3 linked regions of the Tamandua tetradactyla genome follow. The protein of the gene in region 3 interacts with the protein of the main gene of each other region in a biochemical or structural test. Links are inferred from orthologs where the notes say so. Each region holds a gene or a part of one and is shown on either strand. Other genes may lie near its edges.

The links. The genes of interacting proteins can lie anywhere in the genome.
Region 1: the proteins of EIF4E (region 3) and EIF4EBP3 form a complex in vitro, tested with the Homo sapiens proteins (2 studies listed by IntAct, with this or other methods). The link is inferred for Tamandua tetradactyla from reciprocal best matches to the Homo sapiens genes EIF4E and EIF4EBP3.
Region 2: the proteins of EIF4E (region 3) and EIF4G3 form a complex in vitro, tested with the Homo sapiens proteins (3 studies listed by BioGRID and IntAct, with this or other methods). The link is inferred for Tamandua tetradactyla from reciprocal best matches to the Homo sapiens genes EIF4E and EIF4G3.

Annotation. Positions count from the first base shown.
Region 1 is NC_135346.1:20,592,537-20,599,841, reverse strand, and holds EIF4EBP3 (eukaryotic translation initiation factor 4E-binding protein 3), read right to left. Parts: upstream 2,398-7,305; 5' UTR 2,319-2,397; coding exon 2,216-2,318; intron 1,177-2,215; coding exon 1,006-1,176; intron 858-1,005; coding exon 829-857; 3' UTR 524-828; downstream 1-523. UniProt on the Homo sapiens protein: Repressor of translation initiation that regulates EIF4E activity by preventing its assembly into the eIF4F complex: the hypophosphorylated form competes with EIF4G1/EIF4G3 and strongly binds to EIF4E, leading to repression of translation.
Region 2 is NC_135328.1:205,157,000-205,164,759, forward strand, and holds the start of EIF4G3 (eukaryotic translation initiation factor 4 gamma 3), read left to right. Parts: upstream 1-4,737; 5' UTR 4,738-4,851; intron 4,852-7,760. Other genes in the region: uncharacterized protein LOC143674792, read right to left, coding at 3,806-4,198. UniProt on the Homo sapiens protein: Component of the protein complex eIF4F, which is involved in the recognition of the mRNA cap, ATP-dependent unwinding of 5'-terminal secondary structure and recruitment of mRNA to the ribosome. Functional homolog of EIF4G1.
Region 3 is NC_135350.1:26,667,304-26,675,052, reverse strand, and holds the start of EIF4E (eukaryotic translation initiation factor 4E), read right to left. Parts: upstream 3,029-7,749; 5' UTR 2,972-3,028; intron 2,484-2,971; exon of another isoform or gene 2,449-2,483; intron 2,364-2,448; exon of another isoform or gene 1,466-2,363; 5' UTR 1,437-1,465; coding exon 1,419-1,436; intron 1-1,418. UniProt on the Homo sapiens protein: Acts in the cytoplasm to initiate and regulate protein synthesis and is required in the nucleus for export of a subset of mRNAs from the nucleus to the cytoplasm which promotes processes such as RNA capping, processing and splicing.

The sequences.
Region 1 (7,305 bases), on a different chromosome or scaffold from region 3:
TCACCATACAAGTTGCTTCCTCATTTTGGGTGGGCCTCATTTGGGCCCTAAAGTCTTTTCTAATCCTGAGTTCTATACTTTGCTGAGTGGCAGGGATCCTGGTGGGTATTCATGCTGTGAGAAAGGAGGGTACAGGTTTTCAATGCTGGGATAGAAGGATTGCAGAGTGGGTGTGGGGAACAGAAAAGGCATGGGATGTGCACAGGGCTGGAGACAGTACCTATTTCTCAAGTATCCTGCTTTGGAATGGATAGGGAAAGCCTGCTGGGGAGGTCTAGTTACAGGAAGGCTGCTTCCTGGAAAGATGGGAACAGCCTTTGGCAGGGATCAGCCTACTGCTCTTTATGGTTTGGCAGCTCACGTAGCCTGCCTCAGGCATGCAGTGCTGCTGGAAGTGGGCCCAGTGGGGGCTGGGAAGGGATCTGAGGCCTCTTATCCTAACTAGGCCTGTTGGGCCACAAACTCTCTTACTTTGTGGCTGAGTGGGAAGATCCGCACTTGAGGAGACACTGGAGCCAAGGCATTTCTTTGAATGTTTACTAAGCAGTTAGAAGGTGATATACTCCACCCCCTAGTACCAGCTCCTGAGCAGAGGCCTACAGACCAAAGAGAAAGTACAGATAAGGGCTTGTTGAGTTGCCCAAACTCCAATCCCTGGTCTAGCTGCCTCAGAACTAAGGGAGGCCAAGGACCAGCAAGACACTCCCTTTCATATTAGATGAGGCCAGCTGGCCTTTGGATATCCCAGGCAGAGATGAAGATGATGGCAGTAGCAAACGGCATGAGAGATCCCTCTATATTTCCACACACGAGGTCATCTGCACTGCATCAAATATCCATTTCAAACTGTGCGTCATCTGGAGAGAGAAGAGGCAGGAGGACTGGTTGCTGTGCTGAGGGCACTGGGTCTGCAGGCTTAGGACCAGTGCAGAAAATTCTGTTTAAATTGAACCCTTACTTTACTTTGCAGGGGCATTTCTTAATTTTAGGTCCTGTTTTCCTTACCGGGTATCTCTTCCTCTGTCTCCTTCTGCTCCTTCAGCTCCTCCAACTTGGAGGGTGGGACTGTTGCAGTTGTGACCCCGGGAATCTGAGGAAGGCAGCATGGGGGTGTCCGGGCAATGGGCGAGTTCTTGCACTCCAGCAGGAACTTTCGGTCGTACATGATCCTGGTGCCTGTCAAGGACCAAGGAGTAGGGGCTGAGGTAAGAAGAGGCAGGAGCCTGGATACAGAGCTGTCTGTGGCCCCGGACATGGGCCTTTTGGGGACCTGGGAGTTACATTTCCCTGTGCATCAAAGGGCTTCTGCTCTGCAGCCTAGGCAGGATCTTGGCTGACTGGACTTCCCAGTACTTAAAATCCTCTGGGCCTAACCAAGGTGGAGCTAAGCATTATAAACTAAGTGGGGTGTCTGGCTGGTCTAGGCAGGTGCTTTAGGTTTAAGGTTACTTAAGGTCTTGGTTCTAGGAGAGCCTAATTTGGAGATCAGACACTTCAGGCTGCTCATCTATCTGTTGGCTCTGCGACTTCCTTGTTTTGGATCACAGTATGGGACCTAGCCCTCCAGCTTCAGAATCAGGAAGTTAAAGCAAATGTGAAGGTGGTTTACCTGTACTTTCACTTGGACAAACACCCTAAAGGGAGGAGCTGTGAAACACAGGGACAAACTGTTCTTATCCTGACCTGCCTAATGTCCTATAAGGCTCAGCCCAGCCTAGAGGATCTTGGCCTGGCATCATGTCCTCAAAGAGCCCTGCCCTGTCTTCGCCCCTCCCCTTTGCTTCCACGTGGCAGGAACCCCAAGGTCTGGAGCCCAGCAGCTTTGTCATTGGGGCTGCTCACCCAATCAAGCACCAGATAGCCCCTATAATATGTGCAGCTCCTGCTCCTCTGCCCAGCCCCTTTGCAAAACCTAGTGCTTGCTTCTAGGGTCATGCTCTGTTGGGGTCTCAGACGGTACCCCAAGACAGCAAAATCGCAAAGGGTGCGTGGGAAAACACGTGGACAGAAACCAGGTCCTAGTGAAGGATTCCAACCCAATCATCAAGAGGGTAGGCTCAAGGTCTTGCTACATCACTTCAAGGTTTTATGGATCAAGGCCTCTGCTCCGAACCTCCTCCCCCAAAGCTACGACCTGAAGAACCCGCACTTCCCCACCCCCGCCCCACGGCAGCACAAGCACACTGGCCTGCAACCCCCAGCCCGGTACGCTGACCTCCCGGAGTAGTGGCATATAGTGTGCCCCCCGGCGTGGAGCTGTAGCAGTCGGACAGCCGGTCCCGGCCACCGGGAATCGGGCAGCTAGTGGACGTGGACATAGCGAGCGGGTGGAGCAGGAAAGCAAGCGTCTGGTGTTGAGGACGGTGAGCTCAGCTCTGAGCCTGAGGCGGACCCTGCCGACCACGTGCGGCTGTAACAACACCAGGGCGACGTCACGCCCGGGGCGGGTCACCGCCGTCACTCAACACAATGGCCCCGCCCCTCCCGCAAGGGAGCAAGCTCGGAGCTTGGCGAGTGCTGCAAGGGTTCTAACTCCCAAGCCTCTCACGGGCCTTCAAGCGACGCAACTGCTTAGCTATTTACTGTTTCCTTACTGCTGGGCGCTGGGGACAGGTGAGGCACATTTTACAGACAAGAAAATTAAAGCCCAGAAGTTTTAAGTCACTAATTCAAAGTCGTACATCTTGTAGCTGGGACAACTGGGATTCGGATCTGGTTATATCTGATTCCAGAGCCTGTGCCCTTCAGTACAGATGTGTGTAATGCCTCCTATAAACAATCAATTACAGTATAGAATGAAAGTGCCGTGTTGGCCTAGAGCATAGCAGAAGGAGAAGATCAGGAAGGGAGGGGACTTTCTGGAAGTGATATTGGACTGATGAAAAAGATGAGTAAAACTTGGGGAATAATTGAGAACATCACTCAATTATTGGGCAGGCTTTCTCTTGATCTCTTTGCCACCATTAACCTCATGAAACTAGGGAGCCAAGTGATGATGAGGGTTTGGTCTTTAGTTCCTGGAAACGAAGGTCACAGAGTTTGGCTTTGGAGGTAACTTTTTTGATGTAGGGGGTGATATGAGGAAGGAGAGTAGAGTAAATACTAACTTTAGTACCAACAGATACTGAAAATTTGAACCAGTTCCAGGTGTCTTTATTTGACTTCCTCAAAATCAACTATCGCCCCTACTAAAAAAAAGTATATCACCTTACTGCATACATTTAACAATATTGCCTCAGCTCTGGTTTCATCAGATTTTCTCTAAGCTGGATTTCCTCACTCATTAAAAATAAAAAAGCATACTTTATAAATCAGTGCTTCTCAAATTTTAAAGTACATATGAATCACCTGGAAATCTTGCTAAAATGAGGATTCTAATCTCATTTTAATGAAATTCTGCATTTTTTGATAAGCTCCTAGGTGATGCATATGCTGCTGGCCCTCAGATCACACTTCTAGTAGCATGGGTATGTATATTTTATTGTTCCCAAAAGGCTTTGAGCCTTTTACAAAGTAGTGCATGCTTAAATGAAATGTCTTAGCAGTACTGGAGGTAAGGCTTGGTATTAGATTGTGAAGACCATCTAGGAGGACTCAGCTTTTAAGAAAGGTGAATAAGTAGTCTGATGAGGGAGGGGGTTGAAGGCAGAGAGAATGATGGCGGTGAGACCAGTCTAGTGAAATGGGGTCAGCAAAAGGACAGTGGCTGTGGGAACAGAAAGAAGTAGATGGGATTCAGATACACAGAGGAAGAAGGATAGGGATGATTAAGAGTGTGGTGAGGGAGAGGGAGGGTAATTCCCAATTTTCTGGCTTGAGAGTCTGGGCAGCTAGCAGTACCACATAATATAATAGGGAAAATAGGAGGAAGGGCAGATCTTATATTGGGGAATGCACAGTGTGTGTGTAACACTCAGATGTAGAAGCATAGTAAGGAGCTAGGTATACTGGTCTGAAGCTTAGCGGGAGAAGTCTAGGCTAGTTTATAGATTTGGGTGGCGTGAAATTCACATGGAATGAAATCACCTAAAGAGAACATATAAGAAGATACTTGGGCATATCAACATTTATTTACTTCCAAAAGAAGACTGAGAAAGACCAGTCAGAAGAAATAAGAGTACTAGGAGAGAACAGTTTCAAAGAATTTCAAGGAAGTATCAACATGGAAGTCAAGTCTTCCTTTTACTAGTCTCTACTAAAAATCAATAGCAGTAGTTACTACTACTATAAAGACTACTGCTAGTAGCTAAGTTTTCTTGAGATGCTGTGTGCTATAAGGGCCAGGACTAGAGAATAGGTAGTTAGCTTTTAAGAAAAAACTAGATTCATCATCTATGCAACCTGAATGCAGGAACAAGAGTTTAAGTCAGAGGGTCAACATTGATTACACATGAATATATGGGAAGCTTAAAAAAAAATACATATGGCAGGCCCCACCCCCCAAAGATGTGATTTAATCATCTGAAGTGGGTCTGGCTCTTGTAATTTTTTTTTTCCTTCAAGCTCTCCAGCTGATTTTGTGGGGTAGCCATGATCAGGAACCCTTGATTAAGATGAAGGGATAGTGGTATGAAAATACTGGGCACAAAGAAAGAAATCAAGAGGAGAGAGACAAGGCAGTAGGTTACTTATTTTCATCTCAACTGTTTTTGACTCACACTATATCATTAAGATAAAACAGGAAGTAAAAAAGTAATCCAAAATAGGGCAGTGTAATGGTGGCTCAGTGGCAGAATTCTTGCCTGCCATGCCAGAGACCTAGGTTCGATTTCTGGTGCCTGCCCATGTGAAAAAAAAAAAAAAAAGTAATCCAAAATAGATTTATTGTCAGATTGTTTGATTCATGATCTTATTTCCCAAATCAGGTCTTGAAGCTGAGGCTGTTGCCCTGTATTTTAGATAGTCTTAAAACATTAAATTTTGGATACTTAAAACCACATTTTCTCACTCATTTGTTACAGGAGAGAAGGAAGGTGAAGAAACCTGCCTGTTGGCAGATGACACACTTTTGAGGATAGAAAATGCAGTGTTATCAGAGCCCCTCACTCCAGCACAGGGTCCAATGGGAAGATGTCACAACCAAAGCACTTCTTGGTAGAAGAGTTTTACAGAGTTAAGAACAAGATGTTCAGAAGCTATTTTTCTACAGACTTGTTTGCCTCTACCTGCGTTTACATGTGGTCCAAAGGTCTTAAACTTTGTGATAGAACCATGTATACTAAGTATTCCTCTTGGATTGGCTTGAAACTATAATATGACCAGACTATTTCTTTCTTCTATAAGCCAACTCAAGCTCAGGATAATAGCTTTAGGCAAAAGTTTTGAGGGTGAGAGGGGGATTTGACCAGAATCAACAAGAACAGAAGGAAATTGCAGTTCTATGTGCTGAGATTTCTTACCTCTGGTTAGGAGAGGCCACCATTGGTTGTCCAATTCTCTTCTTCGGTCTGGTTAGCTGAGGTGATAGGATTTCCCCTTTGAGAGCAGGGACTGAAGGAAGCAGACTGGCCTATAAAAGGGCAAGTCAGCACACTGTAGCCACAGTAGGTTTAAAGGGTCTAAAAACAGTCAATTTTATTGGTGTTGGAATTTTATTATATTGAATACTACATGAAATAAGTGGGTCCAGAAACCTTGATGATATAGTTGTATTCCTTGAAAGAGTTGTTACTGTCAGGGGATTTGATTTTTGCCTCAGCAGGATGTTTCTTAATTACTTGAGGGCTCTCTAGCATACGTAAGGCTTTTTTCTGTCACCACCAAAATCTCAAAATCAATACTGGCCCTACTGGCAGAATTTTTTTTGGGGGGGTGCATGGTCTAGGAATTGAAACCGCTACCAGCAGACTTTTGATTCCATGTCAGAACCAATGGTGGGGCTCTCAAACCTCAGCACTGTAAACATTCTAATAGCTTCCATTGTCCCCATACCTTATATTCTCATTCACAAGAAAAAAAAAAATCTGTGTTAGAATTAGGGCACACATTTGAGTTCATTTAAATTCATTTTCCAATGAGGAAAATGAAGCCTACAGAGGTGAAATGACTTGCCTAAAGCCCTATAGTATGCCAGTGGCAGAACTAAAAATAGAATTTAGGCTTCTGACTCTTATTCCAGTTATCCATTCTACCACCCTCATTCCCACCCCCAAATCCCGTGTATATTTTGAAAGTAATTAAGTTCTTACCTGAGCTAGGTTTTATCCAACGTTCAGGTTTGTAAAATAGTAGTAAAGTAATGCCAGGAAGAGGCAGACAGAGGAAGAAGAGATTGTAGCAGGCAAAATGGGGTGGGGAGTAGGCTACTAGGATCCAAACAGTGAAAAAGAAAGGAAGATAGTGCTGGTAAAAGGGAAGGGAGGAGAGTATCCTAAAGAACTACTGTCAACTCACAGTTCCCATTTCTTCCTAATCTTCCTAGGGCTTTAACAAAATTGCTTCCTTTTTCCCTCATGGGTTCTAGCTGACTGGAGATAAAGAGTTCTCATTCTGTTGTCCTCAAGATACAGACTATAGGTTAAAGTGCTCCTCCAGACAATCCAAATATACTGTAGATAGTTAAAGTAGAACAAAACTCACCTTTTTGGTCCACTGAACAATTTACTTTAATATTACCTCACTAGTGTATGTTTCATCAAGAGTAATTTCATTCATTTCACTCCTAATGGGTATTTTTTTTTTTATTAACGGCAAGTGGGACCAGCAAGATATGTAGGTAACCCAAGGGGTCTTTTGTTTCCCACAAAAAGTGGTCAGAAGGCCTCTTGAAAATAACTGATGTGGTTATCAAATACTACAAAGGTAGCAGCTTCAATACCAGTGATATATTCCAAATCAATTCAAAATACAAAATAAGAAATGAGCTTAAGTAAGCTGTCTCATATGTAAGATTAGAAGACAAAGGAACCAGGTGTGTCTCATGCAGAACAAACATGGTATGTATGATCTGGGTGCTAGGCAGAGAAGATTAACAACTCCTTTTGGTATGACAGTAGAAAAGTACAGCTTATATGGTATTCTCCCTAGTTACTACTATATTTCTGTGCATCCTCCTCTGTCTTGATATGCACTATGGCTTCTGTAGCAGCCTAAAATATTTTGTTTTTTTTTTTAGACTGCCTATACTAGACCAGGAAATTCAACTGCATGAAAATACACGAACAAGTTGATGACTGTTCTTTTCAATGGAACAGTAGTTCCTTCTCTGTTGCATCAGATTTTTGGCCCGGCCTAAGGTTTGGCCAAAGCAAACTTATTACAATGTTCCTGTGTTTAGTTTGTTAAATATATTGGCTCTTCATACTT
Region 2 (7,760 bases), on a different chromosome or scaffold from region 3:
GTATACCTCTTTGGAGAAATGTTTATTTAAGTCATTTGCCCATCTCTTAATTGGGTTGTTTTGTCTTTTGTTATTGGGTGGTAGGAGTACTTTATATATTAAAGATATTAAACTTTTATCAGACACAGGGTTTCCAAATATTTTCACCCCTTCTGAAGGTTGTTGGACAATTGATTTTTGACAAGGGTGCCAAATCTATTCAATGCGGAAAGAACTAAATGGTGCTGGGATAACTGGTTATCCACATGCAGAAGAGTGAAAGTGGACCCCTACCTCAGATCATATAAAAAATAACTCAAAATGGATTAATGCCCTAAATATAAGAGTTAAAACTTCACTCATTAGGGAAGTACAAATATATACATATATAAAAACATAAAACATAGGAAAATATCTTATAGTTCTGTATTAGGAAATGGATTCTTAGACTTATACTGAAAGCACATGCAACAAAAGAAAACATAAATTGGGCTTTGCCAAAATTTAAAACTTCTGTGTTTCAAAGGGCATTATCAAGAAAGAGAAAAGAAAACCAACAGAATGGGAGAAAATTTTTGGAAATCACATATCTGAAAGGATTCAATATCCAGAGTACACAAAGAACTCCTACAACTCAACAACCAAATAAGCCTTTTCTTTCACCAACTTTTTCCAAGGTAGTGAAGATACCAGTAGACTCTACAACATACTCAGCACCAGCACCACCCCATTTGATATTGATAGGCTCTCACTTCCAAAATCTAGTCTTGGGCTTCCCATTAACAACAAGTGTCCTGTTCTCAGCCTTGATCATGCTTTTGAACTTGTCATGGGTGGAATTACACTGGAATATGTGGACCACGTTGTTGAGGTCAATGAAGGAGTCTCTGATGGCACAATCTTCACTTTGTGAAGCCAAATCCATTTACCCTGACCTTTACCATCATGTCTCAGGGATGTTGCAGGCACTGCACAGGCAGATGTGGCTATTGGTCAAACGGTGAGGAGCAGAGAGCTTGACTTTCCTTTTTTTTTTTTTTTTAACATGGGCAGGCACCGGGAAACGAAACCAGGCCTCCCTCATGGCAGGCAGGAATTCTGCCACTGAGCCACCGTTGCACCACCCTGATTTAGCTTTTAATATAAGTAACTATGGGGCTACAATTTAACTTACAGGTATGTACAGTAATTATTGGGCTACCTTTCTCTCTTTCCAATTAGATGTAGCCTCATATTCTTCTCTGTGGGCCTAGCACAGCACCTAGCACATAGCCGTCATTCAATAAATACCTGTTAAATGAATTTTAAGGACTATCTCTAGAGGCATGGAAGGGAGAAATGGCCAATGCTTGAAATGGGAAAAGCCCAGAGGGGCAAACCCACCTCTTAACCAGTAGATAGAACAGATAATGAGAAACATTTTGACCTACCAGTGAAGAGACATCATTAGTTTCAGTCCTGGAGCTGCCACTCACTTGTATATGATCTTGAGAAAATTTCTTCCCTTCTTTGGGTCCTATCCTTAAAATCAGGAAACTAGGCAAGGTAATTCTGAAGAGTGTTTTTGCCTTGAATTGACTCTATGATGATACTTTGTTCTTCCCCTTACTTCCTTAGCCCAATTTCCAGGAAAGCTGGAAATTTTGGGCAAAGGGGCAGGGCAGTTTGGCCCCAGGAAAACTGAGACAGCAGCAAATCAAAGAAGCTGAGACTTTGCCCTGGAGGGAATAGGGAAGGACCTAAGGTTTTTTGAGGCCTACCATACCTCAGGCCCTGCTGCTATTTTCTACAAACTCCTTTAATCCTTGCTTTCATCCTTTAGAGACAGACCAGTGCTCATTCTGCAAATGGTCTCGATAAGGTAGGAAACATGCTTAAGCTTAAGGTTGTACCGCTTGTCCGTAAGATTAGAATCCAGGTCATGCGCCCAACCAATCTGGGAGACAGCGTGGCTCATCTAGATGAATGTGGAATTTAGTTTCAGGCGTGACTCTGTCCTTTTCTGGCTGGGTGACCTTGGGCCCTTTGAAAGGAACAAGCACCCTCACATGCCTTTCCACCAGTGGGCCCTGCGGTGTCTGGAAGGGCCTGCTTGTTTAGTTCTTTACTTGAAGAAAATTTGTGGCCTATCATGAACATGCTTGTAGTTACAGGGATGGGGCAAAAACATTTCTCTACTTTTCCCATGGGGCCTTCTCTATACCCACACATTAGATGGGTATCTTGCAGTCTCTCCCATCTTGGTCTTTCTTTTTTTTTTTTTTTTAACCTCTTGGCCTCCCATCTCTACTTAATTGTCTAGGGTCTAGATCTTGGGTCTCCAAGGTCCATGCTCAGCTCTACCCTCTGTGGGCCAATGTTTACATGTTTTAGTGGAGCAACTAATGACAAACCAACCCCACTGTGATTAATAAGGATGGCTTCTCTTTGCATAAGGTGACTTGTTTTTATGCTAACAGGCTAGTTCTCTCCAACAGGAGGACTGAAGGGGCTAGAAAACCCTGCTTGCCATAGCACTTTTTAAGTTTTCTTGTGAGCTTTAAGTAGTGGAAAGTTGAGATTACCAGGTCACCTGGTTTGTAAAGATTATGTCACCAGGATGCTGTAAACCAAGTCACACAAACGTCAATTCAGAAATGAAGGGATTCTTTCTGAGCCCAATCCCTGGTTCACTAAGAGAGACAGAACCCTGGTCCAATATGCTCATGAATAAGTAAAATACCATCACCCACCCATGAGGAATGTATAAACCAAGTCTCAGGCTGTCTTCCAGCTCTTCAGATGAAGATGGAGAGGTATGTTTATTCTTGGGGGAATACAGGTCTCTGCCAGAGGCAGCGTGGTGGGCTCTGGGAATACTGGATGCCTGGACAACCATACAATGCTCCTCTGGGGACAACCAATGCCTGCTCCAGAATACTGCCATCCTTCTCTCTCACTATGCAGTGAGATCCAGTCTGGGCTCTGGATGACTGTGGCTCTGTCACGTACACTCTTCATGTGACCTTGGGTAAGTCTCTTGTCCATGTAGGACACAATTTTCCCAGCTCTTAAATAATGTGTTGTGTGAAGGTATTGTGCCTTCCTATGCCTGTTTCTTCATTTGTAAAATGGGTAGTATCTATTTCACAAGACTCCATGAGATAATACATGAAGCACTCAGTGCCATGCCTGGTAATCATTATTACCTGGATTGCTTGGAGATCCCTGCTATTCCTTTCCACTCAGTGTCACTGTCTCTAGGAAAAGGCCCTGCTTGTGGTGGAGTGGGAGCCGGTGCGGAGTGGAGGTTAGGGCATGTGGAGAAGGGGGGATGCTAAGTCAGTTCACCTATGGAGAAAAGGAATTATTTGATGGCAAGTTACCAAGGTTATCAACAAGTGTTATCCCCGCATAAGACACTAGGGGAGGTGATGACTGACTGATGGCCAAAGGGCCTTCAGTCCTGGGGTAGATCTTGGGAAGGAGATTCACAGAACACTCAGATCATGCCCCCAACCAATCTGGGAGGCGGCATGGCTCACCCAGATGAAGGAGGAATTTAGTTCCAGGCCTGGCTCTGTTCTTTCCCGGTCGGGTGACCTTGGGCCAGTCATTTTTACTCTGAGTCTCAGGGCCTTCAGGAAATGGTGCGCCTTATTCCGTTTACCTCTCAGAGTGTATGAGGATGAAATGTCGACATAATGGATGGGAAATACGTTGTTAAGGGCTGGCGAATGGCATTTGTTATGCTAATAATTCCAACGCAGCGGGTTCCAGTCCAACGGGTTTCATTCTGTTTAAGCGGTTCATTCCCCAGTAACCGAGGTTTCTCGCCTCACCGCCTCTACGCCCCTGCGGGCAGGGCTCTGCAGACCACAAGCTCTAGGGCCGACACCATTGTTCTTAGACGCTCGGCCGCAAGGAGGGCCCCAGCAGGCCAGATTTCGCTTTTGGTCTCTCCTCCCGCCCAGAGCTCCCTGCGTCGATCTATCCCGAGGAAACGAGCCAGCCCCAGAACGCCCCCGAACGGCGGCCGAAGACGTACTCGAGGGTTTCCGAAGAGTCCCGACCGCTCGTGGTTTCCGAAAACAGCCGAAGAGGCTTCCCATCCTCGGTCTTCCGAGCCACTCCGAAAAGACCCGAAGTTTTCCGAGCGGCCGTCCTGCCGGACTGCTGGAGGCGGCCGCAGCGCCATGTTGGATGCTCTGCTCGTTGAGTGAAGAAAATCCGCCGGCATCGCCTGAGCCCCGTAACCGAGAAGGGCGCCGCTTCCCCTGGGGAGGGGGATAAAGACCCCCGCCGCCGACCAATGAGGATATTGCCGTGAAAGGTCCGGTCTCTCCGCCTCCTGTCCCCGCCGGGTCCGGCCCCCCCCCCTGGGGTCGCGTTGTCACGGAGACCGGCAGCCGGTGGTGCTGGCCCGCGGGGCGGCTGCTGCTGCCGGCGGCGGCGGCGGCGTCGGCGGCGTCGGCGGCGGCGGCGGGCGTGTGTGACCGGCCCCGGCCCCCTCCTCTTCCTTCTCCCAGCCTTTCCCCGAACCCCCGCTCCCGCCGCCTCCCCGGGTCTGCCCCCATCCCGCCCCCCCGCTGCCCCCGGCCCCTGCACCCCGGCGCGCCCGGTCCCGCTCTGGGGGGGTTGGTGGCTTCGCTTTGCCATGAGTTTACCGCAGAAACCGGCTCTGAAATCAGGCTCAGCGGCTGCAGCAGGAACCGGACCCGGCACCGGAGCGGCGGCGGCGGCGGCGGCGGTAGCAGCAGCAGCAGCGGTACCGGTACCGCCTCCTCACCCGGCAGCAGCAGCGGCGGCGGCGGCGGCAGCAGCGGCAGCAGCGGCAGCAGCAGCGGCCCCTCACCCGAACATCAGGGCCCTCCAGACCCAGGCGCCCCAACAGTATCCTTTTCACCTTCCTGCCACCCCTTCGACTCGCTTCGCTGTAAACCAAGGGGGTTGTGGCCCCCTCTGGGGACCGCCCTGCCTGCCGCCACAGCGCAGCCAGGAAAGGGGCTGCCTTTCAGGCCCCCGTACCGGGCTTGGCCGGAGCTTTTGGGGTGCCCGGACAGCAGCACTGCGGGGGACCACCGGACCCTCTGCAATACTGTGAAAACTAGCTCCACCAGGCCATGCTTTTCTGCCGTCCTTTCCTCCGAGAGCTGGGGGACCCTTCTCCCTTCTCTCCTCCTCCTTCCTTAACCCCCACCCCCCCTTTAATTAGGCAGAATTTCCTGGTAGCCTGGGACCAACACTGCAGGGAAGGATTTTCTATGATTGTTGTGAGGACTACACCCTCCTCCTACACCCTCTTCACCTCCTTTCAGCTCCCCCTGCAGCGGGGTTTAGTGGGCTCCCCTAATTATTATTATTATTAATACATAATAAACTTTATTGGTAAATTTATTTGAAACTAAACAGCTCGTTGCCGAGGTAAGTCGGGTTTTAAATCTACTGTGAACATTTACAGAAAACTCGCCCTTGGCCAGTGTTTTTTAGCGATTTGGGAACGTTGCGATATGGTTTGCGGTGAAATGCGACCTAAAGAGGAAATGTTACACCGGACACTTCCCTGTCTTTGACCTTTTTAAAGGAAGAGGAAGTTAACTGACATTACCCACCAACCCCAAAGTCTCACTTCTTGGAAGGCTTGTGTTAATGTTGAACATTTTTAAAGGGCTTTTCAGAGGCTTATGGTCTAGAGGGTACCGGGGCTCATGAAGAAAAGTCTAGTATTGAATGTGTCTAATTTCATGTTATTTACTCGATTGTAGAATTTTTGGACAGCTTTGATTGAAAAGATTTGGTGGCAAGTTATTTTAGTCAAAAACTAGCCGGTGAAGGTAAAACGTTGAATTCATGAAGTCCACGGAGATTTAGAAAGGTATTACCTACCTGAGACTATTTCATCATGCACTCCGTCCCCATCTGTTGTATTTGTGTAAATCAATAAATAATCATTGGATGTTAGATGTGTTGTGTTTTGTGTTTGTGTCATTGTGTGTTTGACTTTCAGAGAGAGGAGGGTGTTTGAGCAATTAAGAAACCAACCGCTGTGAGGCCCACAGATTATTTCACAGTCTAGTTTGATTCTTGTCAGTATTGATTACATTGAGAAGGGAGAGGCATCCACCCTTTTGAGTCATTTCGGGTCATTGTTTTGCTTTTTGTCAAGTGTCATTTTCTGTGTTTTACATATTGTTAGTTTACATTTTTCAATACAGGCAGTGTGGCACAGGGTATAAAGATAAACTCTATTCCAGTGTGATGTGTTTACTGATTTCATAATGTTTTTACCCTGCATGATTCTGTTCAATTAAGAATTGTTCACTAATGTGTTTTTTTTTCCCTCTAAGAAAGGTAGTGATGCTTTAGTGTTGCTAGTGGAAACCTGGTTAGTTTTGATCAATGTCCCTCGTTGCTTTACTGTGAGGGAAGAGGTTGGCTTGTTTGCCTACTTCAAGGCCAGGTTTCAAGTGCTGGATCTCACATATCTTCATTTAATACTTTGTGAATTTAAATTCTTTTCATTTTTTTTTCCTATTGTCCGTACTTAGGGTTGTAAGTTTCTGTACTGTGCCACCAAGCAAATTATTCATTAATTGATTTTTGAACTATTTTGGTAGTTAAACAAATGTAGAGAATCACGTAGTGTGAGCTCTTGATGTACGAAGTAATAAGACCACGGTGCTGAATATGACAGTGCTTAGTGGATTTGGTGTGCTCTTTGGACACAAAGGATTATGACTTAAGTATTTCAAGTGTGCTTTTTCTCAGTTCTCAGAACTTTAAAAGTTCTGAGTTGATTGCAACAAAAAAGTAGTTACTATAGCTGCAACTTAATTTTCTTTAGAATAAAGAAAGCAAATGTTAAAGGGAATAAATTTAAGACATTTCTGATGGAGATATTTTTAAACATCGTGGTAATATAGGATACTTAGTTTTTCTGTGGTTTTAAGATTGTGTTTTGCCTTATACAACTTAGAAGCTAAAATTAATTTTTCTCTTGATGTACTTCACAATGGTTATCTTCTCTTTGCTTTATACACTGAAATGTTACAATTGCTTAAATTTAAAAGCTTAAGTAAATGAAGTATGGGCTACAGATTTCATTATAATATGACAGTGGTAAAGTGTTTATACTGGTAATGGGGGATTGATTAAAAATTTATCGAATAAAGCAATTCTGTAGAGTGATCAAGTTCAGTTACAATCACTTTACATCTTAGGAACCAATACATTGTATTTTTTTTCATAGCAACTAAATTGGGTGAAAAAATCTAACAAATGACAGTACTTTGTGTTTATGCAAGGTTTCTGCTTTTCTCTCCCCAGGGTTGGGGGGGTAGGAATTTGTATTTGATGCAAATGGTTATCACAAGATAAATTGATAACATTGAAGCATTGAGGTTGAGGGTATGGCTGAAATTGTTTCCTTGATTTGAACAAGTATTCATTCCCTCAGTTCCCTAGATATATGGGTATAGTTGTGTTTGAATTAGTAAATTCATGCAGGATTTTAAATTTGTAACAGTTTGCATGTCAGGTGTTCTTTATTTGTACTTAGTGTCAAATGACAAATAAGAAATGAAGGGAAATGTTAGCATTAGAGGATATGAATATAAACAAACCTGCTAAGTAGGCTTCAGTATTGCACTCCAGGGCCCAAAAGGCCTGTTTAAGTAGAGGCCTTTGACTCTAGAGGCAATACTTGTGTCCTGGGAAGGTAGGGAGCAGGGATGCTGGAAGAAGAAGATATACCCTGATATAAGAAATGCTAAAGGCAAGAAAAAATACGCATAAGTTTTGCA
Region 3 (7,749 bases):
CAGACCTTTCCAACACTAGAATTTTTGAGGTAGTTATAAAGTCAAAACAACTTAGCGAACCATATCAAAATCACAAACTACCTTCATAGATTTATAAAAGTATCTGGCAACCAAGGCCTAGAACTGGTTCGAAACTGAGTGTCAATTGTTTTCTGGTTGCTAATGCCCCAAAATGTTGTCACTTAGGTGTCACATTCATGAAATGTCAGCTTGGACTCAGAAGCTTCGCTGGGCATGTGCCGGCAAACCCAAACTATGACAAAGATAATCACTCCTTTGAGGGGTAACTATCAACTCTCTGTCTCAGGATCTGCTCGGTTCAATTAAATTTAAAATGGTGCCTAAATTGAAAGGAAAGCCTAAAGAATGGGTAAATTAAGAACAGAATCAAATGGAAAATTTAATTTCCTGTAAGTTGTCTTAGAAATCTTCGATAATAAAGAGTAGAAAAAAACACACGGATCTAGGGCCATTCGCATTCGCTCAGGCGTGCGCATTGCACGAAAAGGATGAATGAATGGAAGGCAGGCGCGTGTGAAAGGCAGCAGGTCCCGCCGGCAATCAGACCAGCCGCAGCGATCTGTAGGCCTTGCTCCTCCCCCTTCCCTCCTCCATGACAGCCGAGACTTAAGCACTGAGGGGCGAGGACAATGTGAGCCCCCTTCTCACCACCTCCACCCCTCATTCCATCCGTAGGGCTTCACAGCACGACGCGGGGCTTTCCTCCCCACGCACACCTTTCTCTACTGCCTCGACGCCAAACTCGGCACTCTCTGGCGCGCTGAAGCAACATGCGCTCACCGCTCTCAGCTTCCCCCAGCGAGGTCGAAGATCCCCGCGCGTGCGAAGGCACCACTCCCGCCCACCCCTCCACCGACAACACGCGCCCCCTGGCTCCCCAGCCCACCCGTCTACGGAAGGAAAACTCTCGCACGTGCCCCATACCCGAGCCCCTGGGGAGGAACTCGGGAGGGAGGAAAAGGCTGGCCGGAGCTCCCTCCTCCATCACGTTCCAGGCCGGTTCTTCGCCCACCCTCCCTACAGATTCTGGCGCCCGCCCTAAGCCAGCCCCGCGCCCTCCTATTCGAAAGAAACAGTATCCACACACCTAGCCCAGGGTCCGGAACACCCTCTACCCCTGCAGACAACTCGCGGCTCCGCAAGAGGCACCGCGCCGCCCCTCCCCCGTTTTTCTTCCCCAGTTCCCCGGCCCCCACTAGAACGTGTGAGCGACACGCTGCCGCGGCCAGCCTCCGGGGCGCCCCCAGTTACCGGCGGGCAGGTTAAGCCCAAGAGGAGGGGGAGGGGGTGGTAAAGGGTAGCGTGCGCGCCGGGAACGACATCCCGCGGGGTCCCCCTGTCCGAAGGGAGCCAGAGCGCGGGGACCTGTGGGGGTGGGGGCCAAAAGCGATACTCACCGGTTCCACAGTCGCCATCTTAGATCGATCTGATCGCACAACCGCTCCTGAAGGGGAGGGGGGGGTGAGAGGAAAAAAATTAAATTCAAACCGGATTGGCTGGCTACTGCCACGTGACAGACGTGTCCGTTTGGCCCTGGCGGCGCCTGCGCAAGACTGCGGCTGCGTGAGTATCGAGAGGCTTCTGGGAAGTGGAGTCTCCTTTTTTTTTTTTTTTTTAAGGGCAAAGAAGTTTTTTAAAAAAAAAGTCTGGTCACGTGGTCGATGGATAGGGTGCGCAGTTTTCCGCGCGGCTGACACTCTCTTGCCGGAGGGTGGTTTTCAGTCCTCTGCTCTTCCGCCTGGATGTCTGCAGTCGCACTTACTGCCCGGCATGCCTACTGTGCCCTTCGTCGCCCTATCCTCCCATCTTCCCCTGTAGGCTGGGAACTGCAGGCTCAGCACGCACAATAAGGCTTCATTTGCTTAGTTGGAAGTCCTAGGACAAGTAGCCTATGTATTTATTTAGCTTTCTTTTGACTTCCCACCACCATTTTCTCTTTTAGTTTCAAAAAGAGACGGTGATGGACGGAGAATCTGTGTTTAAGCAATCGATCCTCCCCCGTCCCCCAGCTCTGCTATTGCCGGTGGTCACTCATGGCCTTCGTTGCGAGAGGAGTTGGACTGAACCGCCCACAGTACCCACTTGCCACCGTTGGGGGTGAGGGGGAGTGGACCCGAATGCGTTTTCTGACCCAAATCCTGAGATTAAACCTCTGGGCCAAAACTTGCTTGGAAGTAAAACTTATTTGGCAGCTCTGTCCTCTCGGTTCCACTATCCTCCTTTAAAGTGAACGGAAATAACCTAAGTCCAGGTGCCAGCCAGGGAAGCCACTCTGGGCCCCGCTGACTAAGCCCTGGACTGACCGTCAGGAGTCGTTAGGCCGGGTCAACTATGACTCTTGACGTTGACTCATTCTCCTTAGGCGAGTGACTTAATCATTCAGTACCTCGGTTTTTTCATTTATGAGCCACGGGTTCATACACTTACCTCACAAGGGTGTGCTGTGGTAATGACAGTAACCTGCTTTGAAAATGCATTGGACACTATAAATGTTTCGTAGGCAACTGCGTGCCTTTAAGGATCAGCTGTTTCTCTGCTGTTGTTTAAAACCATGTTTTTATTTTTACTTTTGTATACTTTGTTACATTATGATGTACATCAGTGCAACTTTAAAATTTCCAGACTTTTTTTCTATATAATTGTCGCTACCTTCATTAGAGGCGTTAATGTTCAGGAAAATACTGCGATGTTCACAGCAGTCACTGCCAATTACGAATTTGTCCCCACACTAGCATCATACTTTTCGTTTCCCTCTAAGGTATTGTGCTAGCAAGCTGTCATTTCTCAAGACAGCCTTATCCTGCACAGCCGGGTTACTAACACACACACACAAATCTAGTAATATGCTAATATAAGGTTCTAATAAGGAAGATGCTATCTCATCATTGTTTCCCATGCTTAAGAATGGTAACCCCAGAAAAATTAGTACAAGCAGGCTGCCTGTGCCTACCTGCTTATTGTGCTGCCGATGTCCAAAGCTGTGTCACACCTATTATTGAGTACATAATGGATGCTTGGGTTGACTAACACATAATTGAGGTTGAACAAAAACTCAGTCATTGCATGTTAGTATGTTTGGTTTGCCTGGATGTCAGAGATGACCAGGTACACTTTTGTCTAGCTCTAGTAGATTCTAAAATACTTAGAATTCTAAAAAATGAAAGTAAATGGATTTCTCCTTACAGAGATTATGTACTGTTACTTAAACTATTCAAAGTGATTACAGTTGATGTCGGTGTTTTCTGTTGGTTAAAAGTAGTATCTGATTATCTTCTTTGAATAGATAGCTTAGATGTGCTATTTTTGCAATGATGCTAGATAACAGAGTAAAGAATCAAGGAAATAGGCAAGGAAATATCCACATGGCACAGAAAGCCATGATGTTCTTTAAAAACGTTTTTACGCTTTTTTTCTTTCTTTTTTTAACGTGGGCAGGCACCGGAAGCGGACCCGCGTCTCCAGCATGGCGGGCGAAAACTCTGCCACTGCACCACCATTGCCCTAAAAATGTTTTTAACAATGGCTTACATAAATTTTTATCTTGATCACAAAACTCTCCGCTCTTGTCAGTCATCCTAGTACTTTTATAATACTTATGTATGCTATCAGAGCTTCATTTCACTCCCTTTTACACATGCCTTGTTGCGTATGTTTTATGGAAACTTCATGTGTCTTTCCTTAATTATTGTCATTATGTTCTGCCATGTCAAAGATTTGGTGATTAGGTCTTTATTTTGTTTTGTTTTTTTTGTTTTTGTATGCTGTATGGTGGGGATCACATCTTATTCTTTTTCCATGTGAGTATCCCCTTCTTGCAGCGCCATTTGTTGAATTTTTCTTTGTTGGCTTTTCCTTTGTTTGCTTGCTTGCTTGTTTGAGAAGTACATGGGCCAGGAATTGAACCTGGGTCTCCGGCATGGCAGTGGAGAATTCTACCACTGAACCACACTTGCACCCCCTGGTGATTAGGTTTTTATGTGTGTATGTGGTTATTTTGTTTTGTTTTGTTTCCAATTTGAAATATACATAGAAGACGGCTTATATACTTTATTCCTCTATTAAACCACACAAATAGATTGTATTTGTTACCTTACTACCACATCCCTTATCTTTATGGAAAAGAATGGTTAATGAAAAGTTTAATTTATGAAATAGGGTAAGGTATTGAAGTTCTCTTCTCTTTGATCAAGCTATCTAGTTTATAGGTAACTACCTTTGACTCATCATAATATCATGGTACTTCCTATTTATAAGTCTGGGATGATTGATTATCATCTTTAAATATAAAGCACTTTTCTCAACTTAATATATTCCTCACACTGGTATATTGTCTTTATAGATTAACTCATGGGACATGATTTTAAATAATTTGACAAAACATATAACTTGTTTTTATTATGTAATTACCTCTTTGCCATTCTAATGTTGATTAGATCTGGCAGATAACCAAAGTCATTGTTTTGCTGGGCTTTTCTACCATGTTCAAATTGATCTGATCTGCTATGATATATTTCTAAACAATATTGCTATTGTGCTAGCCATGATTTTTTTTTTAAGACAGTCTTTGAAATTTTAGATATTGTTTAGGTTAGGGGACTTTGTCTCTGATCAGTTTTAAGCAACCCTTTTTTCTTAAGATGAGAGGATTTTGAGACAGAAGATGTGAGATTGCGTAATAAGGTAAGTGATCTATAGTAGCTTAATGTTTGGCCAGAGTTTTAGATATAATCTAAAACAATCCCTAGTCAATACTAATCTGATATCCTTTCTTTTTTAACCTTGTTCAGACTTTTTTGTTGTTGTTCATTCTTTTGTTAAAACTTGGATATACTTGTACTTGATGTCATACTCTATTTTTGTACAGTATTTTTGTTATTTTCACTTTCTACAGTGATTTTCTTTTAGAAAAGCTCTAAGATGATGGCCTGTAATAAAATAAATATCCTTTAACTTATAATTGTATAGTTTAGTGGTTAACAACATAAGTTTAGTATCAAACTATCTCAGTTCGTAACCCCAAGTCCACCACTTAGCATGTGACTGTGAGCAGGTTACTTAGACTCTCTGTGCCTCATGTTTGTCATGTATTAGATGGGCATAATAATTTATGTTGTGTGGCTAATGTGAAAAATAAATGAGTTAATCCACGCAGTGGGCTTAGAATGGTTCTTAGAACATAGTACGATGTTCATTCAATTTTACCTATCATTAGGTATTAACATAGATTCTTATCTCTACTTTTTACTACAGTGGAGTATTTTTAAGAATTCTTTTCTCAGAGAACCAAACTCAGCCCAGTATTTTTGAAGATACTCCAAACTTCCAAATATTCGAAGTCAACTAACATTTATTGATCTCCTATAACATACCAAGTATCTTCCATATTAATTACTTCATTTGACCTTTATAACAATTACATGAATTAAATATCATCATCCCCGTTTTATGGATAAACAGACTCAGTAAAGTTGTCCGAGTCCACATTAGCCAAAGAGTAAACTGGAATTCAAGCCCAATCTCTCCAAGATTCGCTTTTTCCTCATACCATAGCTACTTCCCTCTGATAGGACCTCCCAAATTCTTGTTTCTCCTCAAATGATTTCTAATTCTAAGTTCATTTTCAGAAATGACAGGAAACTATTTAAGAAGTACTGAAGTACTCATGGCAAATATGTAGTAACCAAAGGATATTTAAAGGACACAGGAAGCAGGCACTTCCCTCCTGAACTGTAAAATTTGGTTGGCATATAAGTCATAGAAATATAAATAGTTCTGTCACCATATAAAGACGTGTGACTAAGAGCCAAAATGATGCAGCAAACAAGCACCATAACAAGCACCCATTCACATATTGAGACATTCTCATATTTTCTCACCTAGTTTCGTTTGGGTTTCTGTTCACATACCATCTCCTGAGCAAAGCTTTTCCTTGGCCGCCTTTATCTAAATTAGCATCCCTGGCACTCTCTGTCCCCTTACCTGGCTTTATATTTCTTCAGAAATATAGAATCCTTCAAAATTCTGGTGACAAACCTGATATTATATTAAATATCAATTCATTGTTGGTGGTCTCCACTACTAAAATATTAGCTTCTTGGTGATTGTAGGTAGATTGCAAATAAATATTTGGGAAAAACACAAATCTTATCAAACTAAGGTCAAGCCTCAGGACTAATAATTAATAGGAAAATTGCTTTAGTCAGGCACTATTCTAAGCATTTACATGCATTTATGGTACTTCATTTTGTCTTCAAAACAACACTCAAATGTGAGTGTTCTAATTTTTCAGATAAGGAGAACAAGGCTTAGAAAGGTTAAAAAAACTTGCTCAAGACCACTCAACTAGTAAAAGGAGAACCAGATTATGAACACAGTTCTTTCTTCAGGGCTCTCAATCATTATGTAACATTAACTAGATTGTAATTGGATAGCCTAATAAAGATCAATGTCTGAAATAATAGAGTAATTAATTATCATCAAAGAGAATGTGAAAAATTAATGTAAGTATATGTTTGGACCAATGATAAAGGACTTCCAAAATGAATTCATTTACCTTATTAAAATCAAAATTAAGAAAAAAATTGAAATGTGTAAGATAAGATCACTCATCTTTAGAAATAAGCCACAAGATTGTAAACACCCAAAATTCATTAGAGATTGGGTGTTACTCCAGGGAGTCACGACTGGATTTCGATTGCTACATAGATGAGTAAGTGCCTGTGTTGTGCTTTTGTTTAAAGAAAGAAATGTGTTAATGAGTGGGAGTTGGCCTGCTTACCATCCATAAAAGAGGAATCCAGAATGACTATATTTGATGATGTATCTCTAGAATCGTTGAGGGGGCAGAGTGTGAATTTCTCATCCATCGATCCTTATTTGAGGTGGTTGTTTGAGGACACCAATCATTAAAGCCATATTACTAATTCACCTCATTTTATTGCAGACTCACCAAGCAACCATATGATAAATGTATCTTCCCACCATTTTTTAAAAACTTTTTGTTGTATATACAAATCAAAATTTCCCATTTTAACCATTTTCAAAACTACAATTTGGTGGTATTAATTACATTCACAATATAGTACTACCATCATCAACATCCATTGCAGCAACTTCTCCATGACCACAAACTGAAACGCTGCCCTCATTAAGCAATAAAAACTCTTTGCCCTCTGTGCCAGTTTGAAAGGATTATAACCCAATAAAAGCCATATTTTAATCCTGATCCATTTTGTGGAGACAGCCGCTTCTTTTAATCCCTATTCAGCACTGTAGGTTGGGAACTTGAATAGATTATTTTCACTGAGATGTGATGCACTGAATTGTGGGTATTAACCTTTAATTAGAAGGAGATGTAACTCTAACCATTCCAGGGGGGGTCTTGATTACTTTACTGGAATCCTTTAAAAGAGGAAATATTTTGGAAAAAGCTTCAGAGAGCCACAGAACCTTGAGAGCCTACGCGGCCAGAGACCTTTGGAGATGAAGAAGGAATATGCTCCTGGAGGAGCTTCATGAAACAAGAAGACTGGAGAGAAGGCTAGCAGATGCTGTCATGTTCGCCATGTACCTTTCCAGTTGAGAGAGAAACCCTGAACTTCATTGGCCTTTCTTGAGTGAAGGTAACCTCTTGAAGGTAACCTCTTGTTTGGACATTTTCATGGCTTTAGAGCTATAAACTTGCAACTTAATAAATTCCCCCTTTTTAAAAGCCATTCCATTTCTGGT